Linked DNA regions of Diceros bicornis minor. The protein of the gene in region 4 purifies or fractionates together with the protein of the main gene of each other region. This does not show direct contact. Links are inferred from orthologs where the notes say so. Each region holds a gene or a part of one and is shown on either strand. Other genes may lie near its edges.

Region 1 (7,878 bases), on a different chromosome or scaffold from region 4:
GTTAGTGTCCTTCTCTTGGTCCCATGCTGGCCCCATCCTGCACCGGGCGGTCTGCTCACAAGCGCCTTGGGACTGGCGGAGCCTGAGCCCTCCAGGGGGGGAGTGCCGTCCGAGGCCACGAGGGGGCAGTGGAGAGCATGGTGGCCTGGCGCTGGGGAGTTGGAGTGGCCGTGGCTGCCGCCCGCACATGTCCTGCTATTGTTAGGGTTCGGGCTCCCTGTCAGCAGCTGGGTGGGGCAGCACTGTCACCTCTCTGACCTTGGCGTCCTGTGGTTGCGCCCTCATGGTCACGGTCATGGTTTGGGAGAAGGGGCCTGGCCCCTTGCGCGTCTGCCAGTGTTGTTTTGCTAGTATGGGTCTCGTAATATTTATTCTTTGTAAGATTTGTTCCAGGCTGGGTACCTTTATGAACTTTTTGGGGCTGTTGTTATTGTCATCTCTGTAAATCTTACGGTAACCCTGTGAGATGGCAGGTGGGGCAGCCCACTCTGTAGAGGAGGAAATGGAGGCTCAGAGAGCTTGGGTAACTTGTCCAGGGCCACACAGCTAGGAAGTAGGTGAGTCTTTTTGACCTCAGAGCCTGGGGAGTGTGAGCACAGCTGAGGAGGCCCTGGAGGCCTGTTCGTGAGGGAGCCGCTGCCCTGTGGCACCACCTGTGAGGGCCCGGCCGCGGGGAGCCCCTCTGTGTTGGGATTGCTGCTGAAGAAGGGCAGCGAGCTTCACCAGAGCCGGCGCCGGCTCAGTCACGGACCGTTCCTCAGTGAGCAGTGCCCCAGAGCCTGGGAGGAGGCCCGGCAGCGCGAGTTCTGGCCTCATGGGGTCACCGGAGCCGGGCGGGCGTGTCTGCGGGCCTCACAGAGGCTTCCCTGGGGTGAGGCCCCGGCCTGTGACAGGGACTGCCCTGGTAGCTCCCGAGTGTGGGGAAGGGGAGCCAGGGAGGGGCTGAGGGGGCCGGCCCATGTGCCTCTCGCAGGCGTCCACCGAGCACGGCTCCTGGCCAGGCTCTGTTCTGGGGGCCAGAAACGACTGAGAACAGGCCAGTCCCCCCTTGGGAGTGACGTCCAGTGAGAGGCACTGTGTAAGTCGATGGTCGGGAAGGGCCGCTGAGGGGTCATCCGAAGGCTGGAGGAGGTGTGGGAGGGGCCTGTGGGGTCTGGGGAGAGCGGTCTAGGCAGTGGGAGCAGCATGTGCAAAGGCCCTGAGTGTCTCCTGCGGTTGCATAACCGCTCTGGCTTTCTCGTCTGCTGGACAGGGACTGTCCCGGGAGCCTCGCCTCCCTGGGGCTCTGGGCACCGGCGCTGCTCGGAGCAGGTGCTAGAACGAGGGCGCCCTGTCCTGCTGCCGCTCCCTCCGTCTGCAGCATCTGTGCTTCCACGGAGACAGCGAAGACCTGGGCCCCGCTCGGCAGTGGCTCCGGGTGCTCCCCCGGGCTGGGGACCGCTGCAGCCTGACCCTGCCCCTCCTGCAGGGTGGGCTTGGGCCCGCCCCAGTCCCCCCCTTCCCGCCCTGACCTCGTGCTGCCACGAGCTGCAGCTGGCTGGGCCCGAACCCGGGCCTCTGGGTGAGAACCCTCCCATCGCAGAGGCACCGCCTTGTCCTCGTCCTCTGTGTCCCCTGTGCCTGAGGCTGCAGCGCCACACCCCTGCCTGCAGGACCTCTGGCCAGCGACCCTACAGGCCCCACTTCATGCGGCGGTTCAACAGATCGCTCCCCAGTCCCCAGCCCTTCCCTCCAGGGGGCAGGAGGGCTGTCCCTGCTCCTTCCCTCGGCGCCTCCCGGGGTGGGCCGGGGCTGCCGCCGCCCTTGTGTGCTCAGGGCCCTACCTGGGGCCCAGCTCAGCAGCCGCTGCACCTCCCTCCTGGGCCCTGAGGGCGCGTGCGCCGCAAGCACAGGGCGTGGGGTGACAGCGGGCAGGGAGGGTGCAGTGGAGGGGAACCCCAGGGACTGAAGACTGGGGAGCACACACGGGGTCCCCCACGTTAGTCCCTCAGTTGTGGGGGTGGGGGAGGGACCTCTGCAGCTCCCTGCCCTGGGACTTTTTTTTAATGAATGATTGGGGCCTGTTTATTAGACCCCCATTTAAAACAACTTATTGATGTGAAATTCACATGATGTAAAATTAACCCTTTAAAAGTGAATAGCTCAGCAGCATGTGGTACATTCACAGTATTTTGCCACCACCACCTCTGTCTAGTTCCAGAACATTCCATCACCCCAAAAGAAGACCAGGTCCTCGTTAGCCACTCTCTCCCACCCCCAGCCCCTGGCAACCACCCATTTGCTTTCTGTCTCTCTGGATTTACCTTTTCTGGACATTTCACATAAATACGTGTCTGGCTTCTTTCACCTAGCGTAATTTTCTTTCCCCACCTCACGTATCTTTCACTTAACTTTTTATTTTGAAATAATTATAGAGGCACAGGGAATTGCAAAAATCATATGGAGAGACCTGGGTACTCCCCATAGGCCTTTCAGACATCTCTGGGGTTTGGGGGATTTGGGGGCAGGAAATGGAAGTGAGGACCCATTCTCCCTCGGCAGCCCTGAGCTGGGGCACCCCCACCCCGAGGGCGGGCTTACCTCTGGGAGGGCGCCGGCCGCTCCGCTCCTCTCCTGTCTTCTCCTCTCTTCTCCTCTCCTCTCCTCTCCCTCCTCCGGCCTCGGGCGGGCCTGGGTGCAGGGCCCCTCTCCCGGCTGCCCTCCTGCCGCCCTGAGTCCTCTCCCGGCGGCTGGTCGGGGCCCCCGACGGCGCTGCTCTCCTCTGGGCTCTGGTGCGGTGTCCCGGCAGGGCAGAGGGTAGGGTTTCAGCCCCCCCGCAGCTGGCCACCGCGGAGAGGGGCTGGTTGTATTTTAAGCTGCTGAGTGGTTCAGCAGGAACTCGGGGGCCTGCTCTCCTGGTCGGCTGGTGCTGTCCTCCTGCGGGCCCGTGGGCTCCGAGGGCGTGGGCGCTGCCCGAGGGGACCCAGGAACTATTAGTATACCTGCAGCCACGTGGCAGGCCCTGTGCCCGCCTGGGACCTGCTGTCCCAGCCCTTCCTGGCACATTCCTCGTGTGTCCCTCCCCCTCCCACGAGTCCTCTTGGTGTGGCCAGAACTCCGGGCAGTATGGCCAGCTCTCCCTTTCTGGCTCCTCGTTTGGCTTTGTCATCCCTGTGGCTCGGAGGGTTCAGTCGCCTGCCTCCCAGGCCACATGGCCGGTCAGGGCCCACAGCTGGCGGCGGACGCTCTCTCGCCGGTAACAGTGGGCAGCATCGGCTAGGACTTCTCAGGTGCCGGGCCGTGTCCTGCCCTCCCGTCCACGAATGTGGGGCGGGCGCAGCAGAGACTGGCCCCAGCGGGAGGGTGAGGGTCTGCCCCCGGCCCTGCCCTGCGCTTTGTCGCAGCGCCACGGCCTCCTCAGCCCGTCCTCAGGGCCCGAGGCCTTGGGGCACTTGCACCTGTCAGGCACCACGCCGGTGCCTCGCTCGCACTGTCTCACGGAACCCGACTGCCCTGGGGTCACACGCCTCCCCGCACTGTCCCTGGCTGAGGCTCAGAGAGAAGTGACTGCGTGGCGAGGCTGGCTTCGGGGAGCCCCCCTGTGCTCCCAGCACCCCCTCCTCTCCCACTGTCCCTGGGCGTGTGTGAGGGGAGCCCTTCCCTTCGGGGGGGCTCTGGGCGCCGGGGAAGTGGGCCTGCGCTCAGAGAGCCCTGGTGGGCCCAGCCCTGGTTTTCGTGTCCTGCTCCTCCTCCCCATGCTGCCGCTGACCGAGGGCCCCCCAGGGGCTCTGGGCGTGGGGAGCGTCCTCAGTACCTGCCGGCCAGAGGCTAGCTTGGGGTCAGACCCAGCCTTGCCTGCCACAGCCCCGTGTCTGATAGGATCCAGGCCAAGCCCTGCACGGGGCACTCGGGCCTGCTGTGATCCACCCACGCCCCTCCTCTGACCTGCTTGGGGGCTCCCTCCCTCCCAGCACTGCCCCTCTGCACCCCCACTGTCTGGCCCCTGCCTGGGTGCTCAGGTAGAGAGGCTGGGCAGGCTCCTCTCTCAGGGCCTGGCGCTGGCCTGGCCCGTGGACCCAGGAGGTGCAGGGAGGCCCAGGCTGTGTGCTCTGGGCTTTGAGGAGCTCAGGGTCTGGATGAGGGTGCTGTGTTGGGCTGACACTCGGGAGGATGGCCCTGAAGGTGGCCTGGAGCAAGGCGTGGGTGAGAAATGGGTGGAGAGGGAGGTCGGGAGCAAGTTGCCGAGGCCTCACCAGCTAAGGCGGGCGTGTCTGCTGGAAACTTGCGGGTTCCCGAGCCTTTCCACACTTAGAGTCTCTGTGCACCAGCAACTCCGGAATCTGTCACCTCCCTGGAAACACAAATGCACGAGGAAAGTAATCCCGAGTGGCTTTTACAGCTCAGGAGGGGAAACGGATGCTCTATCTCACAGGTTCTCAGAATAGCTGGGATTTCTCCAAGCCCAGTGAGCTCTGCGGGCCTGAGCTGGACACTCACCAGCTCACCCTCCTCCTGGCACTGGGCCCCCACCCGTGGGCAGCGGGGCTGGGAGGTGCCTTCACCCCCATCTCTGGGCATCTCCCTGTCCCCGGGGCTGTTGGGGGCCGTGTCCACTGGAAAGCCTCACTTTCAGGGCCATCCGGCCCTGGGGGGCTGCCCCAGGCCCCCAGTGGTCTGTGTGTGGTCCTGGGGCCCGGTCTGGGGCAGTTTTATATTTAGCCGTGGCTGCTGGGCCACTGGAGTGGCGTCTGCAGAGCGCCAGGGCAGGCGCGGGCTTTTCTCCAGCACCGCGGCAGAATGTGATTGCGCCAGCCCGGCCCAGAGCCGCTCGCGTGGGGCGGTCCGTGGTGGGGGCTGACGGCCGGCAGCTGGGGCGCTGGCCACGGCCGGCAGAGCGGGGTAGCATGGATCTGAGCATGAGCTTGGTGGCCCGGGAGGCCAGCCAGGGCCTCGGCCCCGGCGTCAATGGCCTCCCCCGGCCCACGCCCCCTAAGGCGGCCAAGAAGCCTAAAAAGGCTGTTCTCTTCTTCGAGGTGGAGATTCTGGACGCGAAGACGCGAGAGAAGCTGTGCTTCCTGGACAAGGTGGGACCGTGGCGCTGGCTGCGCTGGGCCCGGGACCCACTCTTGCTGGGGCTCCTGGCCCCGAGGGAGAGGGGAGTCCCTCCACCCTGGGTCATGACTCCCCACCCCTGCCTCTCAGGGTGCATGAGGGGTACTGTCCCTGCCCAGCCAGTCGGCCCCCAGGGTAGAGTGGGCAGTCCTGGCCCTGGGTGTGGCCGGGAGCTGGCTTCCTCGGGGCCTGGGAAGGAGGAGGCGTCCTGAGACCTGCCCCTGCCGAGGCCAGGCCAGGGGAAGGGGCTTGTTCCGTCCCAGGGGAGGCCTGGCCTGGACAGAGGGCCTTTACTCTGGGGCAGCTGTGGGTGGAGGGGAGAGGCAGAGATGCAGGTCCCGCTTCCCGTGCTCAAACCGTCTCCCAGCCAGGCGGGGCGTCCTGGCTGCCTGGTAAAACCAGGCCCTCAGGCCCACGGCTGTCCCATTCTGGCACGGGCCTTGCTGCTCCTCTCTGCCATGCAGGTGGGGGCCTGGACCCCCACACCCCCCTCCTGTAGCAGCTGCCCTGACCCCAGTCCATGCCCTCCAGGAGGGATCCTGGATCCTGGTGTGGACTCCCCCCAGGGCTGAGGTCCCTGTGGCCTGTGCTTCCCCCAGGTGGAGCCCCAGGCCACCATTGCTGAGATCAAGAACCTTTTCACCAAGAGCCGTAAGTCCAGGGCCCAGCCCACTGCCTCCTGCGACCTCTCTGAGCAGGGGCCTCTGGGTGGAACCGGTCCTGCCCGCCTCTTGCCCAGGGCCTGCAGAGATGGCCCCAGTGTGGCCCGGCTTCCCTGGGACGGGTGCCACCGTGTGGCCATCGGCAGGAATGCCCTTGCTGGGCTTTGGGAAGGGCAGCACCTGCCTTTGTCCTGCTCGTCTGGGCTGTGTCCGGGAGCCACACAGGCCTCACAGGCCTTGTCTTCTGAGGGGCCGGGAGCAGCTGGGGGTCCCTGGGCCCCGCCAGGCTGTGCACGGTGATGCTCCGCTCTCCCCGCAGATCCGCAGTGGTACCCTGCCCGCCAGTCCCTCCGCCTGGACCCCAGTGAGTACAGCTGTCCCTCCACCGCCGCTGGGCCCCCCCCCGGGGGCAGTGGGCGGAGGCCTGGACGCCCCTGAACCCTGGCCTGCCTCTCCACAGAGGGCAAGTCCCTGAAGGACGAGGATGTCCTGCAGAAGCTGCCTGTGGGCACCACGGCCACACTTTACTTCCGGGACCTGGGGGCCCAGATCAGCTGGGTGACGGTGAGTCCCACCCCCGCCCTGGCCTCCTCTGCCATCAGCCACATCAGGGTAACTCCCTGCTCCCCTGCCCCCAGGTCTTCCTGACAGAGTACGCGGGGCCCCTTTTCATCTACCTGCTCTTCTACTTCCGGGTGCCCTTCATCTACGGCCACAGATACGACTTCACGTCCAGCAGGCACACGGTGGTGCAGTGAGTGGGGCCGGGCGGGAGGGCGGCGGCGGCGGGGGGCCTGCTGGACCTCCCCGCTGAGCCGGCTCCCCCTACAGCCTGGCCTGCATCTGCCACTCATTCCACTACGTCAAGCGCCTGTTGGAGACGCTCTTCGTGCACCGCTTCTCCCACGGCACCATGCCCTTGCGCAACATCTTCAAGGTGAGCGCCCGCCCGCCCCCGCCCCCGCCCCCCGCGGCCCTCTGTTGGACCCCAGACACGCCCCCCCAACCCCGCGCACCCGCGGGCCCTCCGCTGGACCTCAGGCCTCCACCTGGCCCTGTTCCCTTTCAGAACTGCACTTACTACTGGGGCTTCGCCGCCTGGATGGCCTATTACATCAACCACCCTCTCTACACGCCCCCCAGTAAGTGGCCTCCGACCCCGCTCACCCCCGCCCCCGCGGGCCTCCCTTCCCCGCCACCGCCTCTCCCTCACGGGCCTCCCCTCCCCTGTGCTTCCCCTTCAGCCTATGGAGCTCAGCAGGTTAAACTAGCGCTCGCCATCTTTGTGGTAAGCGGGCTGGGCCAGATGACGGGTGGGGGGCGTCTGGGGGCTCCCGGCTGACGCTGCTCCTCCGACAGATCTGCCAACTTGGCAACTTCTCCATCCACATGGCCCTGCGCGACCTGCGGCCAGCTGGTGAGTGGCCTGGTGGGGTGGGGGGGTCGGGCTGGGCAGGCCGCGCTGTGGGGGGGCGGGTCTCACCCCTCGCATCCTGCCCGCCAGGGTCCAAGACCAGGAAGATTCCCTACCCCACCAAGAACCCCTTCACGTGGCTCTTCCTGCTGGTGTCCTGCCCCAACTACACCTACGAGGTGAGGGTCTGCCAGCCCTTCCGCCGGCCCCGGGGTCCCCTGTGGAGAGCCCGCCTCTGGTAGGGCACCTGGCTCCGCTGCTGCTTTTGCGCTCTGACCTTGGAGGATCTGGCGATGCAGAGTCTGCAGCTCCCTGGGGGTTGGGGGGCGTCAGGCTCGGCGTACAGCTGTTGGCGGCCGAGGGGCAGCTTCATCACGGACCCCCTTATTCGAGGTCCCTCTAGCACTGGCCTTCGGTTCCCACCCCCACACGGAAAGTAAGGGTTGGGGGAGGCGGCCCAGGGGTGGGCGGGGCCTCGGGAACAGGGGCGCCGCCCGCCCGCCCTCACCCGCGCTCTGCCCGCAGGTGGGGTCCTGGATCGGCTTTGCTATCATGACCCAGTGTCTCCCAGGTGAGCTGGCTGCCCGCCCCCGACGCCCTGCCCGGCTGGCTGCGCGGCCCCCCTGACACCCGCTCTGCCCCACAGTGGCCCTCTTCTCCCTGGTGGGCTTCACGCAGATGACCATCTGGGCCAAGGGCAAGCACTGCAGC
Region 2 (7,531 bases), on a different chromosome or scaffold from region 4:
TAGATCGCCAGAAAATAAAAGGACAGATGTCATCTCATAGAAAATAAAAGGATAGTAATATATTTAAGTGGAACATATTTAGCATTATGAAAAATTCATTTCTTTTATCTTATTTTTCTCACTTTCCCATGGAGGAGTGAAAACCTCTTGGCATCCATCTGAGGACCAGCACTGGGGACCCCCTGACCTGGAAAGGCAGCTCACAGGGCAGTTGGCTGAGAGCAGGAATCTGGGGCTAATGCCCTTATTTGGATTCTAATCTCAGCTCCTGCTGGCTCTTGCTCACCCAGTGACCTTGGGCAAATTACTTAGATTCCTTGTGCTCCAGCTTCCTCATCTGTAAAAAGTGGACTGATAATAATGGAATAAGGAAAGTTAAGGGACTTGGCCACTGTCACACACAGCTTGTAAGTGACATTAGCTGAATTGGGTTCCAAAGATAAATTACAGGAAACCCTCCCCAAAACTCTCTCCATCTCTGCAGACCTATAGGTCTTAGTTCGAACGTCTTTTAGAACCCTCAAGCCAGAGTTCTTTGTGTGTCTGTTGGTTTTATCCTAATTGATTTCTGGCTACAGGGTGTGTTTCGTTTTTCTTGGTTTCTCTCAGAGACATAGCATAATTTTTTTTCATTTGTGTGTTTGAATGAATAAGTAAAATACAAACGTACCTCCCTATGTAAGGCCGCATTGACCAGAAAGAGTTTTGCCTCGACTCCTGTTCAATATTCTTCCTTATTGGTTACCTCCCATGAGAAGTTTATTAGAAGAGACAGAAGCTTCCCAGGTCTCATTAGCATATTGAGTTTGGCATCAAAACATGAGGCTTAATTTCCCAAAGAATGATGACTTAAGTTGAAGCAGGTTGTGCAGAATTGTTGGCGTGTTTGTGCGCATGTAGGGGAGGGAAATGACCATCATTGCAGTAACGACAATGAACTAAAGAAACGTGGCTCCAGGAACGTTACACTCAAACTTGTGCCCGCTGCACGTGTAAGGCCAAACTGCTTTCAGCAAAAGCTGATCAAATCTTGTCATCATAACGTCAGTTATTGCAGAAGTGAGCAATCAGTAAGAACAAATGCAGAAATCCTTCTCAGGAATTGGCTTTAGCCTTTAAAATCGTGGGCAGACAGGGCCATCTGCTGTGTGGTTGTATTACCACACATTGAGATGTTTTATTTTAACTTCCTCACTAATCACAATGTGATTCAGCTGGCTTTACAAAAACAAACCATTCTTTAGGTTTTCTTAGGGTTACCTGTCGAGGACCCTGGCTCATTGCCAAATTTAAGGCTCCTCAAACCCATAATAATCTTATAAGCTAAACAGGGCTCTCCCTTTGATATATCCTTGTCAGACCAAAGTCAAAGCCACGAGCAAGCTCAAGTCCAAGAGAAGCAGAAACTACGACTAGAGGAAGCCAGTAAGGGGAGAGCAGAACAACATAGCATGTGAGCAAAGAGGAAGGAGCAAGAGACAGGAAACCTACCAGAGACAAAGAAATGGGCTGTCCTTGGGCTCTCTCAGGTCCCGATAACATCCTAATTTAGCTCAGGTGCACCCTGGTCATAAACTTTTGAATGAACCTCTGTTGCTTGCAATCGAATAAGCAAAACTAAAACTGTGTCAGTTTTAATGAAGCCAAAAGACTATGAATCCTAGAATCTGGCATGCCTACTCTCATGAATCCCCAAATACCTGTTTGTCTCCTGTCTTTAACCTTCTGATAGAGGCCACGGATAAGATGCAGGGAGAGAGGAATAAAATGAGGTCATCATAACCATTTGGGACCATTATTTGTGTCTGGGCCACCCAGCCAGACTTCTGTCAGCCCATGTCTCTCACCTGCGGAGGGACTAGGAATTGGAGAGGCAGTGCCCTCAGACAGCCTTAGAGAACTTGGTGATCAGAACCAGCAGGGTCTGAGTACCACCTTGTGAATCTCTGGCCAGAAACGGGCTCTTCACTGCCTTAATTAAATCCATATCAGTGTTTGATTCATGAGTTAGTAATCACCTGACTCACTGTCATTGTGGATCAGTGGTTCTCAGGTAGGGGCAGAACTGGCAACATCTGGAGACATTTTTGGTTGTTACAGCTGGGGGAGGGGGACATTACTGGCATCTAGTAGGTAGAGGCCAGAGATGCTGCTAGACATCCTACAACGCACGGGACAGTCCCCTTCAACAAAGAATTATCTGGCCCCAGATGTCAGGAGTGCTGAGGTTGAGAAGCCCTGGAGGGAATTGTGAAAGTGGTAGGAATAGCAGAGGGCTGACCCAGAAGTTGAGAATTCTTTCAAGGAGACCACTACCCAGTCTGAGGAAGACACCATACTATATCACTACCTGTGGCCTGATGCCAAGTCACAGGCAACAGGTGCCAGTAGAGGCTCTGGTGAGGGCAACCCAAGATAAATCTAAGCAGTCAATCCTTGAGAAGCCGAGCAGAGGCTACGGATAATGATCGGAGAAACTGAGGCTAATCAGTTTGACTCCATTCATCCTCCTCCTCACCATTAGGGGACTTCGTGACCTAATTTCCTATTCATATCAAAGGAATAAGTTGGCTTTGGTGACGGGCAAAGGATTAAGCCAAGGTGAGCAGAAGAGCAGCAAATTAATGGTAGCTTATTTAAATGCACATGGATTTGGAAAGAGTGATAATACCAAAGGTCTGAGGTGGGATAATGGGCCTGTTAACTAAAACATGCTTTTGTTAAGCTAGCTTTTGGTTGGGCAACTTCAAAGGAAAGTGAGTGTCTCCCCTCAAGAGCATGCAGAATGGGGGGCGGCCCCATGGCTTACCAGTTAAGTGCACATGCTCCGCAACTGGCGGCCAGGGGTTCAGATCCCCGGCGCACACCTACGCATTGCTTCTCTGGCCACGCTGAGGCCGCGTCCCACATACAGCAACTAGAAGGATGTGGAACTATGACATACAACTATCTACTGGGGCTTTGGGGGGAAAAAAAGAAAAAGGAGGAGGATTGGCAATAGATGTTAGCTCAGAGCCAGTCTTCCTCAGCAAAAAGAGGAGGATTAGCATGGATGTTAGCTCAGGGCTGATCTTCCTCACACACACACACAAAAAAAGAGCATGCAGAGTGGGAATCCCAAAGCAATATAAATTTCAGGACTTGAAGAAGACAAAAAGCAGCATTGCCCCCCATCCCCAACCTTTTAAAATATGTAATGTTGCTGATGGAGGCTTGCATTCTTCTGAGACCTAGGCAGCAGAAATCACCGTCAGTAGATTTCCCTGTAATGCTGAGCTGGGGGAGCAAGCTCCAAGCAGGGAATGTTCTGGAAAACTTCTTAGGCAAGGCCAAGTTGAAGATAGGCTTCTGGTTTTTGACACAGGATGTTTATAGGATAATTGTAGGTTCTCCAAGAGGACTTAAGAGAGGCCACCTTGCAAACCGGGAATTTTGTTTTGAACTACGTTGATTTATAGAGGGCCAAACCTAAGGAATCACATTCATGCACTCATTTGTTTATTCACTTCATTCAATAAACTTGTAAGTCTAGGCATTTTACTAACTGCTAGCCATAGAAAGAAGCATAGGGCCTGCCTCCTGGCATAGCGGTTAAGTGCGCGTGCTCTATTGCTGGCCACCTGGTTTGGGATCCCCAGCACACAATGACGCACCACTTGCCAAGCCATGCTGTGGCAGCGTCCCACAAAAAGTGGAGGAAGATGGGCATGGATGTTAGCCCAGGGCCAGTCTTCCTCAGCAAAAAGAGGATTGGCATGGATGTTAGCTCAGGGCTGATCTTCCTCACAAAAAAATAAATAAAAATAAAAAAAACGGAAAGAAGCATAGATGTGGTTCTCTGTCAGTTTAGTCGGGAGCACGCAGACATAAACAACTGTAATACAGCAATAGGGTCTCAACTGCCAGTTATTCCCCTGCTCTGCTTTCCTCTAATTCCACACTTCACAGAGGTGCCCAGTACTTGAAAGAGAGAGTCTAGGAATTCCTGGCCCAGAATTAAGCGCTCTATAAACGTTAGTCCTTTATCATCAACAGAACTATGCTGAGGCTAGGAGAAACTTCTTCAAGACTGGGTCATCAGAACGTGCGGGAATTTGCATTTTTAACGTTCTGCACGTTTTATAACGTTGTGTTTCCAAGCACAACAAAGTTTGGGAATCATCCTTCGTGGTGGGAAGCTCCGCAAGGTGTTTGAGCAGAAACGTTCACTATTCATAATGCCCTAAAAGAAGCAGAGACTAGAGCCCATAAAACCAGTATCAGCATTTCCCGTCTCTGCTCCACGGTCTGGTCGGGCGGGGCCTAGACCACATTTCCCAGGATGCCCCGTTGCTGGAGCGCCTGCCTGATTGGGCAGAACAATGCGGAAGTGATTACAGGTCGCCCAGCAACAGGCGGAGTCCAGGACCGTGACTGGATGCCCACGCCCCTTCCCTGAGGCGGGGAGCTTGACGAAGCTCAGCTCCATCTGCAGAGTCACACAACGTTCCCCGGGTTTTACTTCCAGCCGAGTGGCAGTGCGGCCTCCTCGGCGCTTTCACCGCCGTCTTTCTCAGGCCCCGCCCCTTTTTACGCTGGAAGCTGTGAAACTCCGGAGACTGGATTACGGCTACCGAGTGGGCTGAGCGGCTCTGGGCGGCGTAGTGCGCAGGCGCGAGCGTTTGGATCCCGACGCGCGGCGCTCGGTTGAAGCGGGAGTGAGTTCCTAGGCGCCGAGACCCGGCAGCGGGCGGGCGAGCGAGCGAGCGTCCGAGCTTTGCCGCCATGGCAGCCCTGCAGTACGCGGGCCTGGACGACACGGACAGCGAGGACGAGCTGCCCCCGGGCTGGGAGCAGAGAACCACCAAGGACGGCTGGGTTTATTATGCCAAGTAAGGGGGCGGCAGGGGGGCCCCCGGGCCTGGAACGCACCTGGAACCTGGCCTCACGTGCCTGGACCTTGCGCTGCCGTCGGCCGCCACTTGCGCGGGGAGGGGCGCGGGCCTGCGCTCCAGGCTGGCGAGGGCGGGCGAAGCGGCGGTGATGGTTAAAGAGCTTCAGAGGGAAGGCTCCCAGGGTCCCGGCCCCTCTGGGCCGTGGGTCAAGCCGGGGTCGCCTGGCAGCGCTCTGGCGCGCCCTCTGCTGTTCAGGAGGCGGCGCTGCACGGTGCAGTGATAGCAAAGCAGCCTTATCCCCTCCCACCAAAAAATCAGAACAAAAATGCGGTTGTCCAGCTCCCTCCTTAAGGGTCTGGGGTGGGGACCTAGGAGTATGTATTTTTAACAGATGTTCTAATATAGCTCTGTGTGTATATATATATATGTGTGTGTGTGTGTTGTATATATATATAAAGTATGGCTTCACAATAGTTTCTGGGAAAGTTTTGGAAACACCAGCAGACCCTTTCTCCTATCACTTACTCTGTGACCTGGGACCAATGAAAGAACGCTCAGTTTTCCCATCTGTAAAATGGGTTGATGGAGGTTTGGTTCAGGCTCTGTACATAAAGCATTTAGCACAGGTCTAATAAGTACTCTATGCTCAATCACTATTAACCTGTCCCGCTGTTTCTGCAGCTGTGACAGCACCTCCTAGGCCTGATATTTGGATTGCCTGGGGACTGTCATAAATACAGATTTCAGGTCTTCACAGAGACCCTCACACAGCAGACACCCAATGTGCAGAATGTGTATTTTTTAAGTTTTTCAGATGAGGCTGGTTATCACTTGGCTTTGAGGAACATGGATGTAAATCAGGGATTTTCAACATCTGGGAAACTTAAAAAATATCTTTTCCTGGGTCACACCTCTAGAGAGTCTCATTTAATTGGTCCCCCTCCCCCCAATGGTATGTTGTAAGATCTTCCCAGGGGTCTCATCTACCCAAGGGTGTGAACCACTGCTGCGCTTGGTGGCTTGGTAGAAAGAAAAACAGAAAAAAAAAGACCTGGTGAGTTCATTCATTCAAGACACATTGGGATCTTATCACGTATCAGGCTCTTTGCTGGGCGCTGGTTATACTGAGATGGATAAGACCCAGTTGTCACCCTTAATGAGTGTCCAGACTTATCGGGAAGAGTGACACATAGTAGGTGGTCCCGGTGCAGCGTGTGTAGTGGGTGCATGCAGCGAGTGGGTGGGTGGGTGAGGTGGCCTGGGAGGCCTGGCACGTGAGGTGTGCCTTAGAGCAGCAATTGAGGTGGGCAGGTCAAGGGGGCAGGAGGGCCCCAGGTAGAGGAAACAGAGCAGAGGCCCCAGGCGTGGCCTGTGTGGCGGTGCGGGACCGTGAAGACTGAGGCAGGGGAGGAAGGACGCAGTTTACGGAGGCCCTTCCGCCTCCTGGAGGAGCTAGGGTCTGTCGTCACGACCCAGGAGTCTCCTGAAGGTTTGGAGCCAGGGAGTGAGGAGGTTTGTGTCTAGAAAGATGATTTCTGCTCTGGAGAATTGAAGGGACAACTGGGCAGGGAGCCCTTAGGCTGATGCGGGCTCCGGGCAGCTCCTGAATGGGCCCTTGTTCTTCCCTCTGCCTGGAGATCTTTGCGTGAAGAGCTTTGTCATCCCTGGGAGCTGAGCTTAAACGTCACAGCCCGGGAGAGCTTCCCTGGCACCCCCACCCCCCCACCCCGCACCCCACCGCGCACCCCTCACCCACCGCCTGTTGTCTTGTCTGTACTTATCTTAGCCATGCTCTTCCTGGTTTGCGGCTCTCTCTCCCCCTTGGATTGTAAACTTCATGAGGGTGGCGACCTTTTCTTGTTCACTGGTTGCTTAGTGCCCGGGAGCCGTAGAATAAATCCACGTGGAATGAGTATATTAGCTCATCTAGTGAAGGTTTACTGTGGCCTCCATGGGCAGGAGGCACACTCAGCCCCGGGAACACAAAGATGCACATGACCCACTTCCTGGCTATTGGAGCCCTTCTCTGCCTCCCACTCTCTGGGGCCTTTCCTTGTTCAGGCCACTTGCCCCGGAGGCTCCCTGGCTTCCCTTCAGGTTTGCTTGGAGCCTGGCGTTAGGTCTGGAGGCTCCCTGTGCCGGCTCGCCTTGCCTTGTCCCCTCTGCACCTTATGTTGTACCACCTTTCTCACCTGCTTCCTTCCGGCATGGTGTCCAGAGTCTGGGCTTGGGGCTGTTCCTCCACTAAATAAGGTCTGCACACCCCAGCCAGCTCCTCTGAGAGCGTCTGAGGAGCCCATGGCCGGGGGACTCAGTAATGCATATATCGTCTCCAGAAAGCTCCCCCCACCAGTGTTTGATGTCTCAAACTGGCCTGTCTGGCCCCACTGTTTACACTGACTGTAGTGACAAGGCCTGGCTGGCTCCCATCTGGGGGCACCTCTCTCCAGTCCCGCTGGCCCTCTGTTCTTTGGCTCTTGGAGCTGAAGGGTGCCTCTGATAGATCCTGTCCCTGGATTCCCAGCAGTCTTCCTTGATCTCTCCTGACCTGCAAGCATCCTGGCCCTTCTTTTCCCTCCTAACTCTGGAAGGGCCACTTGTCCTCTTGGGGTTTGGGAAGCTTAGCTAGTGGGCTTTCAGAAGATGACCCTTCAAAT
Region 3 (7,858 bases), on a different chromosome or scaffold from region 4:
AGAGGGGGCGGACTCACCAGGATGCGGGCCTGCTCTGGGGTCAGCACGTCGCCCTCTTTGCACACCTCGTAGTCGGACAGCAGGGTCACCACGCCTGCAAAGAAGGGGGCCCCTGAGCAGTTCCTGCTGACAGAGCTTCCTGCCCACTGCCCAGAGCTAGGAGCAAGCTGGCTGGCCCCCCGCACATGCCAGGGCAGCTCAGTCAGACGTGTCCAGCTGCCTGGGAGGGTTTTCAGGGCAGTGACCACCTCCCTCATTGTCCTGCAGTGCTGTGTTCTGGCTCTAAGTCGCTGTCCACTTCCCCCCAGCTATGAGGCGGGCACTCTCGGCCCCATCTTCAAATGAGAGAATGGAGGCTGGGAAAACCCACTCAGCCAGGACGGGGAGGAGGGCCCGTCGGGCTTGGGGGCCTGTGCTCTTGACCTCGAAGCTGGGACCTTTCAGCTCCAGGGACTTCCCCGTACCTCTCCTGAGGGCAGTGGGCAGGCCCAGCTGCCTCAGCTGTGGCTCCATGGAGTGGGGGAACTGCTCCAGGGGCCCTGGGTCCAGGCTCACGGTGAACGCTGCTTTGTTCCCAGCTCGGGCGTAGTCCATCTCTGTGTATTTGGTGAACCACCTGAAGGGAAAGAGAAGTGGAAGGAGGGCAGGTTCCTGACTGGCCCACCCGCCCACCTACAATCAGGCTCCCCGTGGGTCTCGCCTCCCCTCCCCGTCCATCTCAGCTGCTGGCTGGCAGCCAGCCTGGAGCACCGTGCTGGAGAATAACGACTCAGTAAACTGGGTTCTAGGAAGCAGTTTTTCCTTGATGCCTCCACTGTACAAAGCCCCTAGATTATTCCTTCCCTAGAGTCCTCACCAATCTTTCTCTTCCTTACCACTCCTCAAAAACACTTACTCGTTCACTTCCTCCTTAGTGCGATTGGTGAAAAGGAGACCAACTTCACCCCTCAACTTCTTGCTGACCTAGGAAACAAACAGAGGATCAGCTCGGTCACATTAGAGCAGTGGGTCTCACCTGGGGACAATTTTGCACCCCCCTCCCCTCAGGGGACCTCTGGCAACATCGGAGACATTTCTGGTTGTCCCAGCTGGGAGGGGCACTACTCGCTGTGTCTGGAGGTTAAAGGAGAACCGGAGCTTTAAGCCAGGCCTCGCCCTCCCTGATCCCGGCCGGGCCTGATGGCCGGAGAGTGTGTTGTGAGCAGCGGCCTGGCCCCGGCCCCTCCGGAGAGGGCCAGCCTCACCTGGTGCAGGTTGTCTTTGTACTCGTCAGATGGGCTTCGACCCAAGGCCACCATCATCACTTTGTTTTTGCCAAAGAACATCCTACAGAGAAAAGGAGGCCTCCGTGAAGGGGGTGCCCTACCCAGCCCTCCCCTCAGTTAAGTGCTTGCCAGCTCTAGTCCGCGGGGGCCCAAGCCCAGGCCTAGGCTGTTCTGTAGCGGGAGGGGTGGCCAAAGGCTCCCACTTCTTCCATGTGGCCCTACCCGCTCTGTCCCCAGCCCAGGATCTCTTTCATTATTTTCCTGCCACAGACCTGGCATTCACAATATTTTGTCTACCAACCCAGTGTGAGTGTTATGTGAACCCGCCCCCCGTGCTGCCCTGGCTGGAAGTGCAGACGAGGCACGTGCCATGGTCTGAACCAGAGCTGGTGCAGCAAGAGACAACCGGAGTCATCACCTGCACTGTCACAAATCCAGCCCAAGGACAGGTACTCGCCAAAGGGCTCATGCAGCCTGCTCTCGGGTCATTGTGTGCCTCCTGGAGCACATCAGCCATGGGGATAGGTTCTAAGACACGCATCGTTAGGCGATCTCATCATTGTGCGGATATCAGTGTTCTTACACACACCTAGATGGCATAATCGACCTCGCATCTAAGCTATGTGGTACTAATCTTATGGGACTACTGTTATGTATGTGGTCCGTTGTTGACTGAAACATTGTTGGACAGCACGTGACTGTATTGACATTCTAAAACTGACGAGATGTTCCTAAAAGGATCAGACCCCAGGGTGAAGGGAGCCCCTTCTCCTGGAGGGATCACTGATCAGACATCCCTTAAGCAACTATCAAGTCCTGTCCCTCAAGAAGCTCAGTGCAAGACCAGCTTTAATGCTGAAAAAGCGCCCTTCAGTGGGAGTGGCCCTTTGCCCTTATTAAGGTACCAGGTACCCAAGGGTCAATACTTGCCCCTGTGCTTTGAGAGCAGCCTGGCCCCTTCCCCACTCTTCCCACTGCCTGCTCACCGGCTGTGCTTCCAGGCGTTCCGGATGTCCTTCAGCTTGTTGTTCCTCATGTTGGCCACGGAGAAGATGAAAAGGTACTTGTACGTGTCCACACATTTCCGAAGCTGTGGGACAATTCATGGGGCTCTGGAGTTCAAGGGGCAGCACGAGTTGGGCAATACTCTGGCCTCAGATGGGAAAGAATCTGCTCTAGATTCTACAACTGTGGAAGTTGAGAGTTGCAGGCCTCTAATCTAGTTGTCTCCTCCTCACCTCCATTACTGAAGCCAGGATCCCTAAGGATAGGGGCTCCCCTGAGGCCAAGCAGACATGACCTCAAAGGGCAGGGGAAGCTGAGCCATGGGTCAAGATCCCAGTCTTCCCACATTCCTGACTTATCTGTGGCCAACAGTGGAATCCACCACTTCTCTTTGCCTTGTCCATTAACTGCTGACAACCTAAAAATACTCAGCTACGCTAGGAAGGCTCCTGCTAGCTGGAAGCATAGAAAGCCTCCTTATTTACTCATAAGGGGAGGCAGCTCAACGGCCCTTCTCCACCCCCACGTTGCTGGCTGCAGCCACGATGAGGTGGTCTCAAAGACACAATCTGTGCGGGAGGAGATGCTGCTGTCAGCCAGCCTGCAGCCCTGAAGCAGTGCAGACAGCGGGCTGGTGCATTTGCCCACAACTGGTAACTCCCCAGCTTTTTGACATGGAACAGGCTAGCAAATCTCTGTGAGCTTCAGCTACCCAACTGCATAACAGTGATAACGTCACCTCGCATCTACCCAGAGGGATGTGGTGAGGATGGAGTGAACAACACATACGAAATGCTCAGCACCGAGCAGGGCATAGAGTAAGAGCTCAGTGAAAGCTGGAAATCATTGCTGTGGGATGATTGGTGGTGCTGCTACTGGTGGAAAAAGGCCTGCATCGGCAGCTGTTTTTGTTTTTTTTTTAACAGTATGTTTCCCTGACAAACAGCCCTACACCCACCTTTATAAACCAAACACAAGATCCGAAAAAATAAAAAGAATGAGCTATTACCTCTTCGATCAGGTTCTGTTTCAGTTCCAAGCCTTTCTTGGCAGTTTTGGTTAAGGAAACTAATACAAAGAAGAAAAAGGAGATGATGAAAAACAAATCTGGATGTCCTGGAGACTCCTTTTCTTCTCCCTGGCTGCTCAGCTGGACCGAGCCACTCTGAGGAAGGGCAGCAAGGCTGATGCAGCCACTACTGGCACACAAGGCTATTCCTGGGGTCCTCAGAGTGCCTACTCTCTAGCATTCCTGAGCCTGGAGACCCTTTGATATATTTTCTGTTGCTTAGACAAACTAGGTGCTCCTCAGCCCTCTTAGGCTAACCTAAAAACCCCTACTGAAGTGTGGGGGCAGGGCTTGTTCCTGCTCTTGGAGCGCTGTAAGCGGCAGACCTAGACTTGGAACACCATTCCCCGAAGGTAACTCCATGGGTTGCTTATTCTCTTTCTTCAGGTTTCTGTTCATTTGTCACCTCATCAGAGAGACCTTTTCTGGCTACGTTACACAAAATAATATCACCTCTTTCTGTTACTTTTTCTCCATGGGACTCACGACTGTCTGACTTGATGAGACTTTTGGTATTTGGGGGAGATATGTATCCCATGACTAAAACGTTAAGTGCGATGAGTGCTCTAGGCCTTTCTTGTTGTAACTGCTATATCCTCCAACGCCTAGAGAGTTCCAGGCCCCCTAAATATTCGTTGAGTGAATGTGCTGGAGAGCCAGGGTGGGAGAAGCCAAAATTGTAAAGATGGTCAGGAATGGTTTCTTAGAAGGTGCCCTATGAACTGAGAACCGAGAAAGAACCAGCCATGTGAAGGTCAGAGCATAAAGGCACGCCAGACAGAGAGAACTGCAAGTAACAAAGGGCAGGGAATAAGCCTGTGCTGAACGAAAGGAAAGGCGGCCAGGGTGGCGGGAGCGCAGAGCTCAGAGAGTGAAATTGAGGTGGGAGGGGTGGGCCAAAGCGAGATGGGGCGCAGCCTGCGTGTTCAGAGGCTGTTTGTCGGCCCAGTCGGCCTTGGAAGAGCTCTTAAGGAGCTCTCCGATCCCTTGACCCCACCACGCTCCAGCCCTCTCCGATGCTCCCGCCGCTCCGACGCCCCCATCCGAGCTCGCAGCGAGCCCGCGGAGCTCCTCGCCGAGGTCCCGGCGTCCCATTCCGTCCTCTCGAAGCACCCCACCGCAGCTGACAGCCAGCCGGCGGCACTCCCCACCGAGTCCCAAAGCCCCCTTCGCCCACCTTTCTTATCGCGCTTAGATTTGGGCATCTCGTTGCAGGCACGTGCGGCGGAAGACGGTGCTGCCTGTTAGGACCCCGGCGGCGCGGGGAACTCTGGGATGGCCCTCGGGGGCTGCCCTCGCGCGTGCCTGACTCAATCTGCGCTACGGCCCCCTCCTCCTGCTGGCCACCGCCTGCGCTCTTCCCCGCGTCTCCAGGGCGATTTCTCGCCCGTCCGGGGTCCTCCGAGTCCTGAGCGCCCCACCCGGGGCTTCGCGTGCCGTCCCAACTCTATGGTTCCGCGGAGGCGGGGCCTGCGGCGCGGTGCATGCCGGGCCGGCGGCGGGCGGGACCGGCCTCCCATCATGGCGGCGGCGGCGGCTTCCCGGTTCTGGTTCTGGGCTGCCCTGCTTGTGCCTGCGGCCGCGGTCTACGAAGACCAAGTGGGCAAGTTTGATTGGTGCGTACGTGTGGGGCCTCTTCGGGAAATATGTGGCTATTTTCCCAGCACCTGTCTTCTCTCGGCTAAAGGGAGGGAGGTTATCGTTATCATGTGGCAGAATTGGCTGCGTAACTTGCGGAGCCCAGTGCAGAATGAAAATGTGGGATCTCTCGTTCAAAAATTAAGAGTTTTAAGGTGGCGACAGCACAGCATGCAACCAAGTGTTGGGGGCGCTTCTAAGCCGGTCCTTGTGTAACTATACAGGTCGCAAGCCGATGCAGCCGGCCCTGCTGTTCAGACACGCTCGGGGTTCTGGTCAGAGGTCACTGTTCCCTCCTCCCCCGCCGGGCCCCGCTTCTGTGGCCGTCAGGTTTCTGATCCACTGTGTGTCACAAGTCGACAGCCTGCAGTGAACTCTCATTCCTCCTCGAATTGGCATCTCTTGGGCGTGTGAACAGGGGCTTGGGTTTTATTGAGTCCTAAACTGAGTCCTCTTTCTCCTCCCTTCCAGCTCAGGACAGGGCCGTCCAATACTCACATCAGCCCCTAAGTGCCATTCATTCATTCACTCACTCATTCACCCACTCACTCACTCACCCATCCCTTCCTTAAGTCCCCGGAGTTGGCTTGCTTTTGTTTGAATCTCAATTTTGTGACGTAAAGGTTGTGTGATCTTGGGAAGAGACTTAACCACTCTGTGCCTGGTTCTTTATCTGTAAGATGGGTTTACAAATAGCTCATTACTTCCTACAGTAGCTGTAAGGATGAATGAGATAATTCCTTTAAATTACTTAGCACAATACCTGGCTCCTTGAGTGCAGTCAGTAAATGTTGCTCATTATTACTAATCAGGGAACACGATCCTTCAGAGCCCAGCTCAGCTATCTTCTCCTCTCTGAAGTCTTTTGTGTCTCAGACAAATTGATTGATGTATTTGTTGAGTGCCTGTGGTGGGACAGATGTTCAGATGCTGTGGATACAGAGATGGGAAGGAGCTCAGTCTAGCGGGGCAGATATATAAGTATGTGATATAAGACGGTGTAACAAATGCAACGTAAGTCACGTTTTTAATGATGTGGGAAAATGTGTAGTATGATATGTATATATTACACGTATGCACAATATGTGATATTCCAATTTAACAGAATATTAGGTATATGCAATTTACAAATTGAGAAATAAATAGAAGGAAATACACCAAAACATTAAAAAGTTTATGGTCGTGGTATTTTAGGCATTTTTCATTTTATTTTTTATACTTTTATGTATTTTTCACATTTTCTACAGCGAGCAGGCATTACTTTTATAGTCCAGATAAAGGCAGCACTTAGTTTAAAAGAGAGCATGGGATTTAGAGTCAGAAGGTCTTAGTTTTGTGGTCTAGTTCTGACAGAGATTAGTTGATGTCAGTAGACATTGATTTACTTACCTGTAAAATGAGAGTAATAATGTTTGTTCTACATACTTCAGATTGTTCAGTGCGTACAACGAAAAAGTATGTGAAAATGCAGGTAGAAACTGTCAAATGTCATATAAGCCTGTCTCTCTACCGGGCTTAGTCTTTTCTTTTTTTGAAAAAGTAGAGCAAACAACATCACAACAAGAGAAATTCAGTGTAAACGTCACGTGTGTTTAATTAGCTAGTGGTTGCCGTACTTCTTAATTAAAAAGAATGTGCAAGCACCTCCTGTGTATTTGATAGTATCCATGCAAAGCTAGTATGTTCCATTTATGCTTAGGTAGGAGTGTTGAAAGTGATGGGATATATTCCAAGGAAAATATGAACAATGAGTCAAATGGATCCTGAACATGGTGTGAGCTAGAAAAGGCTGTAGAGAACAAAAGGCCTGACCCGGTCTCTGGAGTTTTGTTGGGAAATTGGCATCATTTTTTCTCCAGAGGTCGTGAAAGTAGAAGGGAAAGTTGGATTGTATGCTCGTTGACAACAGGGTTTGTGTCTCTTCTGTCGCATGTAACGTGAGTGTCTAGTCCCACTATTATCGAATACAGAGAGGACTGTAATGTTTGTTCTAGTGGGATTTAGGCCACGTGCTCTCTTGGGTGTCACTTATCTCGAGCAAAATATGTGCTTGCATTTAGAAGGAAGACTGTCGCGTTTCTTATCTGCTAGGGGGTATTCTCTCTTCTTGTTCCCTTTGCTTCTGACTACATTGCATAGAAATCTTGCTTTTGGTCAGATCTGTTTGTTAACAAACATTTCTCATACGCTCTAAGATAGGTATGATGGTGATAACCTCATGTATTTGTGCAGTTGCCTTTTTCCAAAGTATTTTCTGCAGTGATGGTTTGGGCCCCTTACATTTATTTCCCTGTTCTCTCTCCCCAGGAGACAGCAGTATGTTGGGAAGCTCAAGTTTGCCTCCTTGGAGTTTTCCCCTGGATCCAAGAAGTTGGTTGTGGCCACAGAGAAAAATGTGATTGCAGCATTGAATTCTCGGACCGGGGAGATCTGTGAGTGAACTGTGCAGACGTTAGCTCGAGATGGAATGGCTGACGTAGTGGATCCAGAAGGCCTGTGGCTTGTGACGTCTGCCTGGCTGATTCCCAAATTAGGGATGAGTCGGCCAAAAGAGGGATCTCTTACTGGATTCTGATACCTTTTTTTTTAATGTCTTGTCATCTTTGAATACTTAAGATACTCCTATAACTGGCCTTTGTAGTTTATTCCGTAAGCCCAGGTCTTGAGTGTTCTTGAATAAGATATTGCTGCAAAAAACGCATTGATCAGTTTTGCAGTAAAGATTGGAATATCCTCCGTAAATTACTTACACTGCTTTTATGGATGTTTTCGGGCACTAAAATCATGGAAATGTAATTTGTCACTATTTTTCTGGTGAATTGTATGGATTTTGTTAATTTTGTCATTGTTTATTTATGTTTGATGGTAGTGGGTGGGCAGA
Region 4 (6,994 bases):
CAACACTATATATACTTCTTAGGGTGGTTGTATAACAAAATGCACGTAAAGTGCTTATGACAGTGCCTGGCTTACAGTACATGCTCAACATAAGCAGTGATTTCTACTATTACTAGGTATTGCCCAGAGACACCATTTAAGTTTTAATGGTTCTAAAACTCTGAGTTTTGGGCCGGCCCCGTGGCTTAGCAGTTAAGTGCACGCGCTCCGCTGCTGGTGGCCCGGATTCGGATCCCGGGCGCGCACCAACGCATTGCTTCTCCGGCCACGCTGAGGCCGCATCCCACAAACAGCAACTAGAAGGATGTGCAGCTATGACATACAACTATCTACCGGGGCTTTGGGGGAAAAAAATAAAATAAATAAAATTTAAAACTCTGAATTTTAAGGCAAATAAGAAATTTTAAGTCTTACATTGGAAAGGAACCAGTTAAAAGGAATTTGACTCCAGTCACAGACAAACCATTTTACTACTACTTTTTGCACCTTCTGATTTTACTACATGTGCATCTAGTCAAAAAATAAAAGCACCTAAAGAGGAAAACAAGTAAAGACCACTGTAAATGCTTAGCCATTTAAAAATAGACATATACTGCCTTGTCTACAGTTTTGAATTTTGTTTCTCATTGACAGGAACATTAGAATTGGTTTTTCCATAGCACTTTCTTTTTTGCTATAAACTAAGTAAGTTTAAGATGTGAATACTCAAAACATATTGCTGAAGATTCTCAAAAATTCTTTAAAAAACAAAATTCTCCAAATAATTTTCACAGCTCACAGTTAACATTAATTTAAAAGCAAATCTGCTGCAGGTAACAAAGCATTCATCAGCACTTTCCTGACAAAGTTCTAGAGTAGGCTATATAGGCTACAACTACGTTCAAGAACTTTTATTATTTCCTAGGAGTTTTTATGAGCTGCCAATTCTTCTATTTGCACAGTTCATTACACTATTCAAAGTAGTATCATGTTCGCCATCTTATTTGTCCCTCTCAATAGCCCCCTAATAGTAAAGGATCCAGGAGACTTCTCATTTCCATTTTAAAGATGTGGAAACCAAGGTGGTTCATAAACTAGTTACCACACTGGGCCTGGAATTCAAGCCTGTTGAGCCTACATTTATGCTTACCAACTACCACTTCATTCCCTTAAGCTATCTCGCAGGGCAAAGTGAACTCTGTAACTAAAAGGATGCAATAGCCTGACTGCCAAAACTATAGTTACTTCTGTCAAAATGTTTACCCCTTGTGGTCCTTGAAGATAATGTACTAGTTGAACTGACAAGTTAAGATAGTAATGTGGGGAGGGATGCTGACACCCATTTTCAGATAGGTCAGAAAATGTGTCTGTTGTGTGATACATTCACTCCAGTACACAGTTCACTCCTGCCTTCTCATGATCCTGTTACCTGGCTTGTTTGCATGTGCACCCTGGCTGGTGCAAAGGAGAACTCTCCCACAGTTCTTTACCTCTGCTCTAAATATAATTATAGCAAATGCACAACATGGCATTGATTCTATTTATGACCCTCAAATATGGCTGGAAAAAGATGATACAGAATGCTTTTAAAGATTAATAGAATTCTTCCCTTAAAAAAACCCCCAAAACTCTACTTATTAAAAAACTCAGCAAAATATTCCATTTCCTAAATTAGAGGTAAAGAGACTTAACTGTGGTTCACCTTTGTCCTCCCAAGCTTTTAATGTTCAGCTCAGTTTAACTTCCCTCAACCAGCAATCACTTGTGTCATGCCCAACAGTTAATCCACTAGGTCCAGTTTCTTCCTCCCATCACCATAAATGTGACTTCAGGTCCTGCAAAATAGGACTTACCCAACTCAAAGAGTAGGATGTCAGTGTAGTAGACAAACTATTCAAACTACAATTATTTATTGCAATCATTATTTATGGAGCAGTTAATATGTATCAGATTTCCCTATCCTATTTTATACACATTTTAATTTAATTCTAACAACTCCATCAGCTATTATTATATCCATTACTTAGGGAGAACTGGGGCACAAAGGGTAAGTAAATTGTCCAAGTTCACATAGCAACAAATGACCTACTGAAGGACTTGAACAAGGACCTTCACTTTAACCACTACACCAAAACTGTCTAGCTCTCAACCATAACCCCAACGGGATCATAAAATTAACCGCATGACCTTGGGCCAGTCATATCAGAGCTCTGGGCCTCAGTTTCCTCCACTATAAAACGACCTACCCACAGTGAGCTTTTCGGTGCTTTCCTGCTTTTAATGTCCGGTGAATTTCCAACTGGATTACTCCCCACTCCCGATTAGGTGTAAATGTTAGGACGTAAGTGTTCCAACCACTGCGTGTTCTAGTACATTCTCCATACTCTTCAGGGTGCTAGGGTCCAGTCTTCGCTTTGCGGTTTATTTTCAGATATTGAACCTGTAATGCTAATCCTAAATACTCTCTCTCGGTCCGATATCACCTTTCCCCAACCCTAGGGGTACCGACTAGGCCCAAGCCCACTCCAGACCTTTACCCGGTTACTCCAGCGCACCTCGCGGCTTCCCAGGCAACCAGCAAAAGGCCTACGAAAGCCCTAGAAGCAAAGCCATGGGACGAAGTTAGCTTTCCCAGAGGTCAAGAGACGCTCCAGGGCACCTGCCACGCCTCCCGACGCCGGCGCGCGGCCTCGGCCCGGCGCCCCAACCGAAGTGGCCCAGGTTCGGCCTCGAGCTCACGGCCGGCGCCTCCGCCGGGGCCTGGGCCCTGGAAACCCAGCCCGACCCCTTGGCCAGGCCACGCCCGGCCCCCCTGGCCCCTCGGCCGCGACGCCGCGCACCCAGGCCCCAGGGTCCTCAGAGACCGAGGACGCGCGCAGGCCTCCCGTCTCACCTCGAGCCTCCGGGAACCGCCGGCGGCACCCGCTCCTTCTCCCGCCCGCACACCTGGCCCCGCGCCGCAACCGAGACAGCGGCAGACGCGGCCCGACCGTCACGTGCCGCAGATGCAAGAGGCCTCGGCTACCGCTGCCGCCGCGCGAGCGAGCCTCAGTGCGCTAAGCCCGGCCCTGCGTCCGCCCCTCGCTCCTGAGTAGTTACGGCCGGCACCAAATCCCGCCCCCCCGCGCAAGCTCCGAGATCCGGTTGGTCGGCGCGGCCTTCGCTCTATGCACCTTCCCGTACGCCCCCTAGGGCTCTTCTTCGTGGAGTGTGGGGATTGGCTAGGAGTGAGGCAGGAAGTGGCTCTTGGTTGGGCAGGAAGAAAGGGGCGGGCCGCAGCGGAATAGGGAACTGCGGGCGCGCGCGCCCTGGGGTGGGCCGGTCCACGGGACGTTCCCGCGCCTGGTTGCCGTGGTGCCCTAGTGGGCGCTGTGCCTGGCGTTTTGTCCCATCGTGTGTGGTCCGGACCCTGCTGGTGCCTGGACCCGGGCCCCGGTCCCCGGGCCGGGCATCCCGTTCCCTTCGCTGAGGGGGCAAATGGCAGCCGGCAGAAGAGGTGGGAGGTCGGGAGGGCCTTCGGGAAGGGCCAGTTCCCCGATTCTGCTAGTGCGGGGCCCGGACGGAAGCCGCAGCGGCTCTGCGGGCCGGCCTGGAGTCGTGCACAGCGCTGTGTAACAAGGCGCCGGCGTTCCTGCAGAGTCATCGCTCTGGGCCCAGCAGACTGCAGCGGCCTCATTACCCAACATAAAACCCAGTCTAGAATACTATAATCCAAGGTTATTTCAACTTTCAATTTGTGATGTTTCCTGAAGTTAGATTAGACATAAGGGCACAGACACCCGACAGGATTAGGAGAAAACAGTGGTGCGATGGAAAGGTTTCAAACACACTACAATTTTTGTAACCCACTTTTAGCACATCTTCAGTTTTCAATATGCTTAGAACCTCAGAAAATGGAAGTGGCCTAGGTTTTCCTAGACGTTTATAGGTCCTGGTCTCGGTCTGTCATTTGGTTACCCGAAGTCTGAATACTAGGGTGGAAAAAACTAGAACCAGTAGGTGTATCACCTATCCTAGTGTCCATGTAAATAATCCATAATCTATAATTCAAAATTGGGGTGAGTTTATTATGAGCCAACTTTTGAGGACCATAGCCTGGGCCTTCCTTCCCCAAGGAAGGAAGGCCACCAAAGAAGTGGGGTATACAGAGCGTTATATACTGTCAAAGAACATGTATCACATATGATGGCAAAGTCCCTTTTACAATAGCCACAAGATTGCCCTGCCAGAATAGCCCTGGCGGAATAGCTGTTGGACACAGTGGGGAGCAGGTCTGCTGTCTCAATCTGGGCAGTCACAGGATGAGTGCAGCAATCAAATCCTAGCCTAGTGAGAAATACTTATCCTTAAGGAAATGCCAATGTGGGGGAAGTTGCATTCTTATGTTAAGGGCATTTACTCTTCTCTTTGGGACATGGTAAAGTGGATACACAATGCATGTTTAAAGGCGACAGGCCTTGTTGGAAAAACAAACTCAGGCAGAACTAGTTTTACCCCAAATGGCTTCCTCATATGCTCTGATATATCCTATTGCTTGCCATTTATTTATCACTAGGATCCAGCTTTATTCCCTCCCACTACCTGGAAGGGGAAAAGAGAGGTCAGAGATTGGTGTTTGCATGAGTTTAGTATTCTCCAACTCTCAACCCCCAAATTTGTGTAAGAGAATTTTGCTTTCCTGTTTACCTGGGGAAGTGGATATTCAAGGCAGAATAATATTCTGGATGCCACATGTTCTGGACAATGAGCTTAAAAGGTAGTTACAGAAACTGTGTGAGCAAAAGAGCTCCTCCAGCAAAGGTAAATGCTAAAAGATGGTGATCCTGAAGAAAATTTAATGGGGTTTTGAGCTGGAAGGAACTGCTTTTGTCTAGAATGGACAGGTAAAGAGGTAAGACTTAAGCTGGACCTAGTAGGATATGCAGGATTTCTATAGGTGGAGAGTTGGAGGCAGGCTTCTTTACACGAGGGACCAGCGTATACAAAGGCAGGAAAATGGGTATCGTATGTCTGGGGACACCGCACACACGAGTGTTTTGGCTGGAGAAAGGTGTTCGTGAAAGTGATGGGAAGTCAGCTCCAGAGTCGGGTTAGGAGCAGGCCTTCAAGGCCTGGCCAAAGAGTTTGTAGGGAAATAGTTTAGATTTTGGATTTAGGTCATGATTTAGATATTTAGGAAGCATTATGTTAATATTATTCCAGGGAGTTCTGAAAGTTCTGAGAGAGACTACCAGCTATGAGGCCAGTTAGGAAGCTACTTCTTGCAGTTGATTCAAGGGCAGGATTAGGGAATGGCAGGTTGTATAGAAACAAAAGCATTAAATGTTGATACTGAAGAATGGACTCAGGCTGGGGAAAGAGAGGAACCAAAGCAGACACTCAGAGTATGAGCCTGGGTGACAGGAGGTGAAGTGTAGAGTAGCTTTTTTGTAGACAAACTTCCGCCTTGCCTTTCCTTTTTTTGGTGGGGGGGAAGATCAGCCCTGAGCTAACATCCATGCTAATCCTCCTCTTTTTGCTGAGGAAGACCAGCTCTGAGCTAACATCTATTGCCAATCCTCCTCCTTTTTTTTTTCCCCAAAGCCCCAGTAGATAGTTGTATGTCATAGTTGCACATCCTTCCAGTTGCTGTACGTGGGACGTGGCCTTAGCATGGCCAGAGAAGCGGTGTGTCGGTGCACACCCACGATCCGAACCCAGGCCGCCAGCAGCGGAGTGCGCGTACTCAACCGCTAAGCCATGGGGCCGGCCCCTGCCTTGCCTTTTGAAGCATCTTTTGGGCAATTTTCTTTCTCAGGTGCTTGATTGTCAGCTCTGTGAAATTCCTCCACTTTTTCTCAAGCTTTTGCCTTTTTCTTCTCTTCTACATCCTCTATGGTTCCAGCTGGAAAAGGGTATGAGATCTTTTCTTGATAATTCAAAGGGTACTTTGAGGTGTTAGAGTATTTCATTAAAAGAAATAATCATTTTATAGTTCTCAGATGTAGAAGGTATGGGAGATTGGGCTGAATGTATTTTAACCTTATGATATAATCTGTAAGATGGTTTTCAAAATAAACTGTTTATATCCATTTTAAAATGCACATACGTTTTGCCCAGCAATTCCACCCCTGGGAATATATCTAGATATATAGATAGATAAGATAGATAGATACAATAGATAGATGGAATATATCCACATACTGTACTTGTATTTAAAAGTATACACAATGATGTGCATTGCAGCATTGTCTGTAGTACCCCAATCCTAGAGACAACCTAACCTATCATCATAGAGAACTGGTTAAATAGAATATAGGTCATCCATGTAATGGTTCTGTCCTGCTGGAGAGCATGCAGTGAGCACATATATGTACTGATATAAAATGATTGCCAAGATTTAGTGTTATGTGAAAAAGCACTGAGTAATGTTTCCTTTCATGTTTCAAAGGGAGATATATTTTCATAAATATGAACTTGGACAAACAAGCTTACTGGAAAGATGCAGGAGAACTGCTAAGAGTGATTGATGCTGAAGAGGGGGCCTGAAACCCTGGAAGTGAGAAGGAGCCTTTTTAATAACATGTGTATATTATTTTTTCAATAAAGGATCAAATAAATTTCTGCTTTTATACTTAATTTTCCAAAAAAAGATAAAATATATATTTAAAACCACTGTGAACAAAATTGTTGACCAATTTGTCTTTCCTATCCAGCTACTTCTTATAACAACTTGCCCCTCCCACCTTCCTGAAAAGCCACCCTCATCCTTGCTCATCCTCACCTTCCTTTGCTTAAAGGAGAAAGTGGGCACCCAGCCAGAGGGAGCACCCCACATACCCATCCAGTCCTTTCTTACTGATTAGGTCAGTAACGGTCATTTCTCTGTACCCACACTCATCTGGCATTGTCAAATTGAGGTATGTAATTACGTTAACTGAAGTTTCTTTTATTACAGTGAAGTTAACATTTCTCACATTCATTAACCATATATATTTCTTCCTTTGTGAACTGTCTATTCACGTCATTTGTCCAT

Evidence for each region.
Region 1: the proteins of CANX (region 4) and TECR purify together in Homo sapiens (affinity purification with mass spectrometry; 3 studies listed by BioGRID and IntAct, with this or other methods). This does not show direct contact. The link is inferred for Diceros bicornis minor from reciprocal best matches to the Homo sapiens genes CANX and TECR.
Region 2: the proteins of CANX (region 4) and WWOX purify together in Homo sapiens (affinity purification with mass spectrometry; 3 studies listed by BioGRID and IntAct, with this or other methods). This does not show direct contact. The link is inferred for Diceros bicornis minor from reciprocal best matches to the Homo sapiens genes CANX and WWOX.
Region 3: the proteins of CANX (region 4) and EMC1 purify together in Homo sapiens (affinity purification with mass spectrometry; 4 studies listed by BioGRID and IntAct, with this or other methods). This does not show direct contact. The link is inferred for Diceros bicornis minor from reciprocal best matches to the Homo sapiens genes CANX and EMC1.

The regions. Positions count from the first base shown.
Region 1 is NC_080769.1:3,349,494-3,357,371, reverse strand, and holds the start of TECR (very-long-chain enoyl-CoA reductase), read left to right. Parts: upstream 1-4,868; 5' UTR 4,869-4,883; coding exon 4,884-5,063; intron 5,064-5,690; coding exon 5,691-5,742; intron 5,743-6,072; coding exon 6,073-6,117; intron 6,118-6,213; coding exon 6,214-6,317; intron 6,318-6,391; coding exon 6,392-6,507; intron 6,508-6,584; coding exon 6,585-6,690; intron 6,691-6,822; coding exon 6,823-6,895; intron 6,896-6,997; coding exon 6,998-7,041; intron 7,042-7,112; coding exon 7,113-7,170; intron 7,171-7,257; coding exon 7,258-7,346; intron 7,347-7,692; coding exon 7,693-7,738; intron 7,739-7,813; coding exon 7,814-7,878. UniProt on the Homo sapiens protein: Involved in both the production of very long-chain fatty acids for sphingolipid synthesis and the degradation of the sphingosine moiety in sphingolipids through the sphingosine 1-phosphate metabolic pathway.
Region 2 is NC_080771.1:28,084,162-28,091,692, forward strand, and holds the start of WWOX (WW domain-containing oxidoreductase), read left to right. Parts: upstream 1-4,525; 5' UTR 4,526-4,764; coding exon 4,765-4,871; intron 4,872-7,531. UniProt on the Homo sapiens protein: Putative oxidoreductase. Acts as a tumor suppressor and plays a role in apoptosis. Required for normal bone development. May function synergistically with p53/TP53 to control genotoxic stress-induced cell death.
Region 3 is NC_080752.1:36,356,556-36,364,413, reverse strand, and holds the start of EMC1 (ER membrane protein complex subunit 1), read left to right. Parts: upstream 1-4,845; 5' UTR 4,846-4,860; coding exon 4,861-4,955; intron 4,956-7,284; coding exon 7,285-7,409; intron 7,410-7,858. Other genes in the region: MRTO4 (mRNA turnover protein 4 homolog), read right to left, coding at 18-94, 465-616, 896-963, 1,245-1,326, 2,252-2,355, 3,280-3,338, 4,517-4,544. UniProt on the Homo sapiens protein: Part of the endoplasmic reticulum membrane protein complex (EMC) that enables the energy-independent insertion into endoplasmic reticulum membranes of newly synthesized membrane proteins.
Region 4 is NC_080740.1:92,651,384-92,658,377, reverse strand, and holds the start of CANX (calnexin), read right to left. Parts: upstream 3,009-6,994; 5' UTR 2,873-3,008; intron 2,577-2,872; 5' UTR 2,511-2,576; intron 1,815-2,510; exon of another isoform or gene 1,682-1,814; intron 1-1,681. UniProt on the Homo sapiens protein: Calcium-binding protein that interacts with newly synthesized monoglucosylated glycoproteins in the endoplasmic reticulum. It may act in assisting protein assembly and/or in the retention within the ER of unassembled protein subunits.